2 linked regions of the Coturnix japonica genome follow. The main gene of each other region encodes a partner of the protein of the gene in region 2 in a complex. Links are inferred from orthologs where the notes say so. Each region holds a gene or a part of one and is shown on either strand. Other genes may lie near its edges.

Region 1 (5,646 bases), on a different chromosome or scaffold from region 2:
AACTTTCAAGTCCAGGCTCCAAGAAATGCTATCAGATTTATGTACTAACTTGACTCAGTATTAAATTCACAGTCAAATGGTACGCTCCAGGTGATGCAGACTGCACGGAGGGAGAATAAGCCTAGCTACCCTGCAGCATTAACAAGGAGAGCATGATAGAATCTTTTAAGCAGCAGAATTAAGGGTGTTGGACAGCCACGTTATGATCTTTCAACAAAAGATGGAAATCCCAAGCACTTCCTGCAATGCTAACAAGCACCTATGAACCAGCAGACATCTTTCACCTACTTGGCTGCTGCTGCCAGAACATCATGTAATGCGGTGCTTCCCATGCACTTTGTAGGAACACCTTTGCCTTGGAGTGGAACTGTGCAGGCTGTATTTTGAATGCCCAAGTGATGAAATCACATCACGCTCCTAAACAGGGAATGTCTTAAGTTCTTTAGCCTATACTTTATTTTCCTGCCTCTCATCCATTTGTTTTTAACTTTCCTAACAAATTCTTATTCCTAGAATTGATTGTCTGGCTGCAATGTAACCTTACTGTAACAAGCTAAACTCCTTATAAAAAAACAATAATTTGACCTCATTCAAGGACTGTTTCTTTCCTAAACAAAACAACACACATAACGTGGGGTTCAGATCTTGTTTCTTTCTGTTCCCTCTTTCCTAGTAACTTTGTCAGACTCTGCTTCATTTACCTTCTCTCCAAGTCTCCTCACATCTGACCTGTGAACCTTTTCCATGCTTAGATATTCTTCTCCCTAGCATGTCCCACTACTATAGCCTAACTAGCTGATAGCACAGCATCAGCCCATGGTTTAAAGCAAGTTTCTCTTGTGTTGGGGAAGGATGCTAATTGTCCTTAAAGTGTACTACAATCCACCTACTGCACCGGGATGTTCCAAGGCTCAATAATGAAGTGCAAGTAATTTTTCTTAACCTCTAGTAGAATCTTTAATAATAAACAGCCCCCTTTACTAATGAACAGAACTCATCCAGGTCTGAGGAAAAGCACAGGCACTGAAAAGAAGCGCTGTAAAAAGTACATACAGCACAAGAAGGAGGAGTTACCATTATTTCCTCGGATAAATGCATCCCCATACTTGTTCTTTAACTGTCCATTTACGTATTCTTCTGTCTGTTCCAGAGCTATATTCATATAGCCATCCAGGCAAGCCAGGACACCTAAAGAGAGTGATAGTTTAAAAGTGAATCAACTTTAGCTTATTTCTGAACTAAACAAAACGGCTTTGCATTTGAACAGTACAAGGAAAAAAATTGTATCTTCATAGCAAACTAAACTTCCAAATGTGGTCAGGTGAGTCAGTCAGCAGCCCAGAGAGCATTAAAGGAACTAAACTGAGAGTAGGGAACTCCAGGTCCTGTACATGACTGGGTGGGGAGAACTCACTGAGACGTGACTTTGAAAGAGAACATCTTCCATTCTGAAAGTTTAGTTGTTGCTTTTTACTTTTGTTTTATGCCCAACTCCTGAGAAGAACCTGTGACATAAAGTGTAACTGGGCAGCCTAAGAACAAGGCTACAAGCTGAGTTTTGACCAAAGCTCATCAAGGATATATGTGAGAAATAACCCTTCTAATACAGGACACCACGCACATTTTTCTGATTTATTTTCCAGAAACTGGAGCACAGGAAGTTCTGCACGGATGTGCACAAGAATTTGTTTACGGTGAGGGTGACAGAGCACTGGAACAGGCTGCCCACGGAGCTTGTGGAGTCTCCTTCTCTGGAGATATTCAAGACCCGCCTGGACGCCTACCTGTGTGACGTGGTGTAGGGAGCCTGCTTTGGCAGGGGGTTGGACTCGATGATCTCTACAGGTCCCTTCCAACCCCTACAATTCTGTGATTCTGTGATTTTCATTCTTATAGACAGAATAACATGGGCTGCCAGCGTGATTTCTGTGTAAATCAATTCTACATCTTCAACGGGGAAAGGGTTTTCATATGACACTGAAATCTTCAGCCAAATTTAAGTGATGTACAAACAGAACATTTACATAGTGAACTAAATGTGGGGATTAACGGATGTGAAGAACTGCTCAGAAAATGCAATACGTACACAATGCAATTTGCTAATTGCATACATAAAACAACTTCTAACAAGCTGCTCATCTCCATCTTGTTTGTGTGTGTTTCCTGACTTCCTCCTTGCACACAGACACCACTATTAAAAATACAACTACCAAAATGGACAAGAATCTAATTTACCTGCTATTAAAACTGAAGACATGCAGTACATTGGCTGTATTTGAGGAGGGGGAGAACTCCAGTCTGAGAATCTTCCTCCAGGGTATGTTCTCATTTTCCAGAAGCGTTACTGTAATATCCTCCATTAAATAATTAGGAATTCAAGTTTTCTTGCCAACTTGTAATGGCTTGAGGATTGGTATTTTCCTGTATGTGTTTTTCATCCCTGTTTCCACATAAATGGGGAAATTCTGTCTGGCCACAAAGTGTTTTAAATACACCAAAACCTTCCAAGCCAAGTCAGTGACAACATTTTCACACCAGTAATCCTGAGTGCTTCAAGATGCCACAGAAAACAAATGTTTGCCCCAAGCTGAAGTTGGGCTGTGGGGTTTTTTTTTAAGCTATCACTCAACTGGCCAGGGTGCATCTTCATTTCTTTCATTGTTGTCTTTCTTTTCTTTGTATTTACTCCCAGAATACTAATAGCATCACATACTGTTGCTGCCCACCCTGGCTCATATTTTGCCTGTTTTTTATCAGTATGCAGCAATGTTTTTACATTCATATCCATCTGTACAACTGATTACACGTGCACTTTGCCAGGACTTCTTAGATGAGTACAGCGCTTGGCAGTGAACCAAGACATTTTACAGCTGCACACCAACGTGAGAACCAGGCAGCTGCTGTGCTCACAGTGGCTGGGAGGGTGGAGGTGCAAACATAAAATGAGAAGGGTAGCCTACAGGCAGAATCTGAAGAGATCTGCAACAAAAGCCTGAGATGCTGGGTTTCCTGATGTTTGGTTTATACAAGTGATCGAATTTCTGTAGAGAAATGAAGTGTGCATTTCTCAAATGTAAGCACCAGGAGGGAGTTAGGGAGAATGGAGGGAAACAAAGAAAGGAAAATAACTCCTGTATGACATTGGGCTGGTGTCCAAACACCAAGATTCCTTGTCAAAGGACAAACGAGCACTAAGATGAGCCAACTGAATTAAACCTACCTGAAGTAGCGATGTCTGGCATGATCATAACGTTTAAATCATCCCAGAATAAAACACCTGTCTCCTCATGGGAGAGGCATGATAAGAGCATCCAAACTTAACGAAGACTGAGATAAAGAAATAATTGTAGAGGCTGAGCTATTGGAGAGGCTCAGCCTAAAGGGAGCAGGACATCTCACTGCACAGACAAGGTGGAATCTTACCTCGATAATCGACTCCAGAATTTAACTTTACAACAACAGGCCTTCCAATGATCTGCTTTAGGAAGTCACTGGGAGTTTGCTTCCGTAGGCTCATCTTGATTTGTGTCGGTACGCTGGGAATAGATGTGAAAGCCGATATATGGATAAGCAGCACATCCCACCCTGCAGGCATTGAAGGCCAGGCTGGATGGGGATGCGAACAACCCGGTTTAGAGGGAGGCGTCCCTGCCTACAGCAGGGGGCTGGAAGTGGATGGGCTTAAAGGTCCCTCCGCACCGCTCCCCGCACCGAGGCACAGCCCGGCCCGCACCCCGCCGCCCGGTGCCCCATTGCGGCCGGGCCGAGACACAACGCCGCTCACACTCACCCGCTGCTACGCGCGCCCGGCCCCGCGTTCGCGGCCAATCAGCGGCGGGCGGTACGGCGCGGCGGCAGGGACACGGCGGGACGGGCGCGCTCGCTAAAGCGGGGCGGGTTGTGGCTGCACTGAGTAGCGCCGCCTCTATCGCTGCAGGGAGGAGCTGGATGGGATCACCTGCTGCCAAAGGACGGGGAGCAGCTTTCTGCTTCTGCACCCAGCTGTGGCCTGACCTCTGCAAAACCTCATCTGTGTCCGTTTTAAACTTATCTTTATAGTTTCTGTCTATTTTTATCGTTTCTGTCTATGGATACTTGGTTCATTGATGCCAGTCAACAAAATCCTTCTAATTTCCTTTTTAGTCCTAAATTTACAAACATATGTATTCCGAAAGACTGAAATAGAGATGGACAACGTTGTATCCTTAGCTCGCCACTTCTATGGCTTGAGGCTGAGCCATGAACCCACACCTTAGCAAATTTGTCCTGGTTTTCTGTATAAGCCTTGAAACAGTCTTCCATGCTGTACTGAGTAAATGAACCTCTGTGCAATAGGACACATTGCTGAGCATGTTGGTGTAGTGGGTTTTGCATTGGGAAAGAAAATTTCTCTCTTGCTTATTCACAAAGATTATATAATGTAATCACAACTGTAAATACACAACCTAAAGAATGTGTTGTTTCCTGAGTCACACAATCCCAGTGCTCAGGTAGGTGGTTTTCAAAGGAATTATGTAATCCATTCTGTAGACTCCTCGCAGATTTCAAAGCTTCGAGTGTGAAAAAATGAGACCCACTGTTTAATGGTTCTTCTTTTTGCTTCAGTCATCTAGATGAAAAAGGATTTGGGTCTAAAACTTTGCATGCGTTGCTATCAGTACATTCTTTAAAATATGGCATTGCTTTATCGTTCCACAAAGCAGAGAGCATTTTTCCAGCTGTATAAAACTCATTGAAATCAGTGACATTCTGCCCGTGTGTTTTAATCAAGATGAACTTGAAAGGTGAACATTGTAAGTGGTAGAAATTATTTATAATTTGGTAATAAAAGTTTATGTCTAACACTTCCAAACTTCATACATCTGCTATGTGCCAGCCTTGAGATATAGAACAATTGTGATTGCCTTTACATTTGGCCTCAGATGAAAGGTCATAAATTACAATGGGAGTTTTCAGTCCTTCGCAGCTCACAAAGTTTCCATTATAGCTTCTTCACCTCAAACATAAATGGTGACAAAGTTCTAACATGAAGAGTTGCTGTGGCCTTTACCAGCTGAACTTAATGATGGAAGCTGGGGGCTCGTCTACTATTGCTAAGTCTTGAATGTGAAGCACCTCAGAATGTTTGTTCAGAGAACCTCATTAAAATTTGCAGTTAACTTTAAAAAAACGAAATGGGATTTGACAGTGTATGAGAAATTGGTAATCACAGCCTGAACCTCTGATTAATCAGCTGAGGCAAGTGTCGGGTCAGCTGTGGGAGCACAGGTGAGAGTAATTTAGCTGTGCTCCTGGGAGGGGTGGAGCTCGACTCCACCTCCTCTAGACCTCATTTAAGGGCTGACCCCCACTGAGGCAGCATCTCTTGGAGATTGCTTTCTGGTGGAGATTGCCTCAGCTTTTCCCAGCTGAGGCATCGATATCGGTGAGTTTTCCTTTACAAATAACCTTTTGAATTATCTTTGCTACCATCTTCATATTATTCAACTTTACAGACAGTCTGTCTGTCTTTCTCTTCTCCTCCCAGCCCCCACTGAAGTCAGTGGAGGTTATGGTAATTACCTCTCTGTACTCAGAACCTTACAACAAAAATCTTTGAAATACACTGGCAATTTCAAAACAAATCTAACTCAGTGATCAGGTACC
Region 2 (5,959 bases):
TTTTGGCTTGCTATTGCATCCAACCTGCATCATATTACAACTAGTATAAACTCAGATATAATGAAAGCCACAACCACTTTTGTCTCCAACCTATGTTTTTTTCTAAGTGGCCAACAAGAGCGAGGGCACCTTTATAGGTGTTCTTCCTAGGACACTCAATGGTCATTCATCTCTTAGCAGTATTTGGCAAGAAAGCAACCTGCTAAATATTGCAAGCCTTGCAACCCAAGGTGATCTAATTACATCAAGAAACTGATCCCACAAACAGATGCAGGATGCCTTGAGAAGGATGCATTATAAAATCATGCAGATCTCTTGGAAAAATGGATTTAAGAACACATATGATGAATGACCACTCCAAAGCTTTAGCCTCTGTTGTATGGCAATTTGTTTTACACATTAACATCCTGAGCTTGTTTAATTTCCTGAAGTACTAATAAATATTAACTCTTTGGTACCTTATACAAATGTGATGTTCACATCAGGACAAATTCCTGCTAGTCCTGCAGACTCACTGCAGGTTGAGCCCAACATTAAAGCTATCTACTGTGATAATAAAACAGCGATGTTTGGAGACGAGCTGGGGAACAAAATCTGATTCCTTCTTTCACTTTAGGGATGGAAAGACCAAGCATTCAAAATTACCCTGGAGCTTCACAACGTTTAAAAACAATCCAGCAATCATGTGATGAGAAGTTATTCATCATCTGAAAACTATTTGCTTTCCTGACCACAGCACGGCCTTCCAAAGTAGAAAACACAGTTTCCTCAGGTTTCTAGATACTGCCCAGTCACAGAACGTGGAATGACTGCAGGAGTTTAAATGCCAGATGTAATTCTTGATGTAAGACTTGAAGAAAAGAGTTTGAATACCAGTCGTTTGATTGGATCAAATGGCATTTTATATACTCAGTCTCAAATAAATAAATAAATAAATCATTCCTGCAACAGCCTCGCCAAGATTTAGTTAGAGAGCAAAGGAGGAAACGCAACGAGAGCACAGAATACCTACGAAACACAGCGGGCCTTGAAGACACACTGAGCGCCGGTAACGCACAGCTGTTGGGTGGCCCCGTCCCCTCCAGACAGCCCCGCGGAACCGCTCCAGCCCGACCCCGGGCCCCCCACAGCCCGCACCGGCGGGGGATCGCAGCAAGGGGCTCGTAACCGGCCCCCAGCCCGCTGCAGGCAGCGCCCAGCCCAGAACCAGAGGCACGCTCCCGGGGCCCAGCGCTCACACCCCTCACCTGACAGCCCTTCTTATGGTGGAAGCCCACTACCACGATATGCAACACCGGGCCCCGCGGAGGGGCGGCCGGCGGCGCGCCCCGCTTCTCCATGGAGCCCGGCGATGGCCGCTCCGGAGGATACCGCCCAGGCCGGGCTGTCGCTCCGCCTCCTGGTGCCGAAGGCCGAAGGGACGGACCCCAACCGACTGCGCTTCCGCAGAGCCCGGCGAGGGGAGGCGGAGCGGGGCCGCCCTCTTCCCCTTCGCCCTGCCCCCAGCCGCGCTGTGTCCCGGCCCGCCCCGCCCTCCACTCTGTGCTCTGTGCGGTGGGCGCCGAGCGGGAGCGTGCGATGAAACTGATATAGGAAAGTGCTTGGTTTTATTAAAATTAGATACATTAGGGGGCAAAAGATAGGCTATAAGGAACAATCCAGAACTAGCAAGCGAATGATAAGAAGGAAGGGTAGAGCTGCAATCAAGCAGAAGCTCTTAGAAATAAAAGAATCCTGCTGGAATTTTCTTTCTCAGTGTATATCTAATAGATACCAATAAAAACTCAGCCATATATACCAGAGCTGCTCTCAAACTAACGCCTCCTGTTTTATTATGCTGGCCCATGACATCAGAGGTGGATGTTGGTATGGCAGTAGGGGCTACACCTTCCTGCCGTTATATTCCATTATACTTTGTTGCCTTGTGACCGATGGCAGCAGAAGGGCAGTCAGACAGGCTGCCACCTGACATGGCAGTGTGTATAAACAGGAGCGGAACTGAATTCCCATTGCGGTCGGAGCCCAAAGGAGAACACGGCGGTAGAACGAGCGCTCTGCCTGCCGCTACTCAGGGCTGCGTCCCGCCCGCCACAGCCTCTACTTCCTCAGGAGGCGGCAGCCATTGGCCAGCTCTGGCGGCAATATGGCGGCCAACGCGAGCACCAACCCCTCGCAGCTCCTGCCGCTCGGTGGGCAGCGCTGCCGGCGGGTTCTCGCGTGGGCTCGGGCGGGGAGGGAGGGAGGCTGTGACCGGGGTGGGAGAGGCTGCAACAGGGGCTAAATCGGGATCTATGAGCGAGAAACTAAATCGGGATGTAACAAAATTAATTCACCCCTCTTCGTGTTGAGGGAATACGTGCTCCGGGTGTAGCGTTGCTGTTGTTTCCAGTCGGTCGGAGATGATGGAGGGTACCTCTGGGCTGATTGATTTCCTGCAAATACACTAATGCACTTTTGTTGTTTTTAACATCTACAGAGCTTGTGGACAAATGTATAGGTTCTCGCATTCATATCGTGATGAAGAGCGATAAGGAAATTGTTGGAACTCTGCTAGGATTTGATGACTTTGTCAGTATCCTTTGGTGGGTGTTATCTGTGGCCATTAGCTTCATGGGGAAAATCATTTCGTTTATTGTTAAGAACATTAAGCTGTTTGGTATCGGTTTTTTGCTCGTTAGTGGTTTTTGTTTGTTTTTTTATCGCTAAAATCACAGTTTGGTGTAAAATAAATTGCCCATCTCTATACTGCCCTTGTGAGGCCCCCAGCACAGGAAGGATGCAGAGCTGTTGGAGCAGCTGCAGAGGTGGGCTGTGAAGATGATCAAATGCTTCTGTTGCTGGAGGTGTACAAGGCCAGGCTGAATGGGCCCCATGGCAATCTGATCTAGTGGGTGCAGCCTACCAGCAGCAGGGGTTGCTCTGTATTTGGAACTGGGTGGGCTTTACAGTCCCTTCAAGTTCTATGAAAAGAAATCTGGGCCTTATTTTCCTTGAAACTGAGCTTTCAGATATGGTGTTAGAAGATGTTACAGAATTGTAAGTATTATTTTTGTCTCTCATTGCTATTCAGACTTGGGTTTCCTGAGAAAGAATGCGGTATAAGGTCTGTGCTATCACAGATACTTATAAACTGAGCAGTTTTGAATTGTTATTGAAAAAAATGCCAAGTTTTAGAGGGCAAATCTGTGTCTTTATATGCTGAACAAAAAAATACAGCAAATCTGTTTAGTTGCCAGGTAGCTTTCCCTGCCTAGTGGGTCAGTGCATCAAGATGATGTTGCAGTGTTATTTCCAGTAAATGTCATCTTAATATGTGGACTTGCATTGGTGCTGTAATCAGAACTTTATTCATTGTTGATGATTGCATGCTCATATTTTTTTTTCTAATATTGCTTCAGTGAGATCACACCTGAAGGCAGAAGAATCACAAAACTAGACCAGATTTTGCTAAATGGAAATAATATAACAATGGTAAGTCATCACTGTAAATAGTCTGCTTGTGTTTCTTTACCTGTAAATCTGATTGAATTCAACTACTTGAGTAGTTTCTAAGGCATATGGTTTATGAATGATGCTGGGAAAGTGATCTTATTGCTATATTTCATATATTTTATGGTTTAAAATGCATGAAAAGAGGAGCATGGGCATGACTATAGTTTTGGTATATGCTTTTTTGGTTTTCATAAGGTGTGTGAGGGAATCTTTGGACGAGTTTGGTTGACAAAGTGGCTTTTGACTCATGAGTGTCTGTGTAAGTCTGTGGGTTGGGATACATCTGCAGTTCATCCATTATGTATAGGTGTGTTTGCAGCAGCTCAGATACTTATAAGCTTGTTAAGTTACTTGACTATTATTAATCATTATCATGTGATGCCGGATGCTCTGGAAAAAAATAATAAGGTGGAGTTTTGTTGGACTATAACAAATCAGAAGCACTTTCTGGTTGTTACTCGCTGATGTGTATAGATCAGTACTGAAACAATACTGTAGTTAGTTGAGCATCACTAAGTGAATTCTGCATCTTTGTAGATACTTTACCACAAAAGCAGACTCACAGTACATCATTTGCTTTCCTGCACAGATGGGTGCAAAATCTGGACTTCCTGCATAAGGCAGTTCATGATTTTGTTAACAAGACAAGTGGAAGGCTGACTTGAGTCTATCTGTTCTGTGTGAATGGGGAATAATCCCCATATTGCTATCTCACCCTTCTGAGTAAAAGCTATTTTGACTTAATTTCAAAACCTTTTCTTGCTTCGGTTATTGTTCTGCATCTTTAATGCATTGTGCATGTTCTGACTTCTTGTGTGGGTAAAATAATTATTTTATATTATTATTATTTATATTATTTTAACAAAGGAGTTCCTAAAGAACATACATTTTTTTGTCCTTGTTACTCATTCCAAGGTGAATCTTGAAATTCTACAGTTTGTTTTTAAGAGCATTTCAAGAAGCATTTCTTCAACTGATTCTTCTCCAGACCATTGTTATGCTGAGAAGCTTTTTTGCTCTTCCTGACTTTTAGTGATAAGCAAAGCCGCTATATGTATACATGTAAGACCAAACCTTTCTATAGACAGTAGGAAACAAGCCAGCAAAGTATTTTCCTGTGAATAAAAGACTTAAGAGTAAATATAAAAGGAAATATTAAAAAGGTAAACAAAGGTAAAGGGGAAAAAAGATAAAAATCATTTATATTTTCTTAATAATGAACAGCACACTTCCAAAAGAGAAAGACCCAGGGTGCTTTTGAGTCAGATTCAGTAATTTTATGGCACAGTTGTAACATGTGCCCTTAAAAAAGGCGCAGGATCTCCAGTCAGAAGCATGGCTGGGTTTTGCTAAATATGCGTACTTTAAGGACCACTAGCTCCTGATTTAAGAGCAATATGCCACCAGATCAACTTCTGCTTTGAAGTCTCTATCTGCTAAAGTGTTTTAAAGGAAGAAGTGTCATTTATGAATTTGAATAACTCAAATCCATGTTGCTAACACAAAATTATCTTATTCTTTTGCAGCTGGTTCCTGGAGGAGAAGGACCTGAAGTATAAATTGATACAGATGTCATCTATGAAGACATGTTATATGTCATCTAAATAGAGCCTTGGGGGTCTGGGTGGATTTTTGTTGTTGTTTGTTTATTTACACACTTGCAGTTGACATTTGATGAAAAGCAAAGATTTCCTTTTCAGGAAAGGTGCATTGCTAATGCTGACTTTGTAAGTTGAAATCATGACTTTTTTGTAAAGACATACTGATTTGCTCAGAATAAAGGCTTTTGTTTTGTTAAGTGTTGTATTTGGTTATGTAAGTGCATGAGTTTGCAAAAGCTGTTTTTCTATACCATCAACCAGTTTAAAACCATGTTTCAGTTACTGTCAGCTTTCTGGTTTTCAGTTTATTGCATTCATTTATGGCCCAATCCTATATGAAATGCAAGCATATTTCTTAATTGGAATACAAATGACACAAGGCTGGATCCTTTGTTTAAACTCTGTTTCATCCTGTGGCACCAGAAACCATGTGGAAGAGTCTGGAAATGCTTGCCAAGTGAATGCATCTGTTTCTTGCTCAGCAGCCTTTTGGTTATTCCGTGTGAGTTTCAGCCCTCTTGACCACCTTTTGCTTGGTATACACACTTTCCTACAGTAAGGATGCTAATATTATTTTACACATCTGGTCTGAGCAGACAGACCAGACCTTAGTCCATATTTTGCAGTAGAAGGCTGGTAAAACTTTTAAATTCATGTCAGTGATTATTTCTTCTTTACCACTAAGTGGTGCTGTGTGTACAGGTCCTTCTGCTTTGCTATATCTGACAAAAGAGCTGTCTTCTGTTAGCTGGGTTTCAGTCTGACGTACATTGAGAACTTCATGTTTCAGCCTTCGCAAGGGAAAGAGGCTCTCCCTTCTTCAGGGAACGTGCTGCACTAAGACATAATTCTTCTGGATATATCCT

The links. Proteins that work in one complex are often made in the same cells at the same time.
Region 1: LSM5 (region 2) and LSM6 share a complex: the UniProt entries of both Homo sapiens proteins name them as parts of the precatalytic spliceosome. The link is inferred for Coturnix japonica from reciprocal best matches to the Homo sapiens genes LSM5 and LSM6.

The regions. Positions count from the first base shown.
Region 1 is NC_029519.1:27,571,973-27,577,618, reverse strand, and holds the start of LSM6 (U6 snRNA-associated Sm-like protein LSm6), read right to left. Parts: upstream 3,785-5,646; 5' UTR 3,596-3,784; coding exon 3,424-3,595; intron 1,189-3,423; coding exon 1,075-1,188; intron 1-1,074. UniProt on the Homo sapiens protein: Plays a role in pre-mRNA splicing as component of the U4/U6-U5 tri-snRNP complex that is involved in spliceosome assembly, and as component of the precatalytic spliceosome (spliceosome B complex).
Region 2 is NC_029517.1:78,883,655-78,889,613, forward strand, and holds LSM5 (U6 snRNA-associated Sm-like protein LSm5), read left to right. Parts: upstream 1-2,053; 5' UTR 2,054-2,143; coding exon 2,144-2,189; intron 2,190-2,476; coding exon 2,477-2,572; intron 2,573-3,008; coding exon 3,009-3,036; intron 3,037-3,398; coding exon 3,399-3,471; intron 3,472-5,018; coding exon 5,019-5,051; 3' UTR 5,052-5,290; downstream 5,291-5,959. Other genes in the region: late secretory pathway protein AVL9 homolog, read right to left, coding at 1,248-1,340. UniProt on the Homo sapiens protein: Plays a role in pre-mRNA splicing as component of the U4/U6-U5 tri-snRNP complex that is involved in spliceosome assembly, and as component of the precatalytic spliceosome (spliceosome B complex).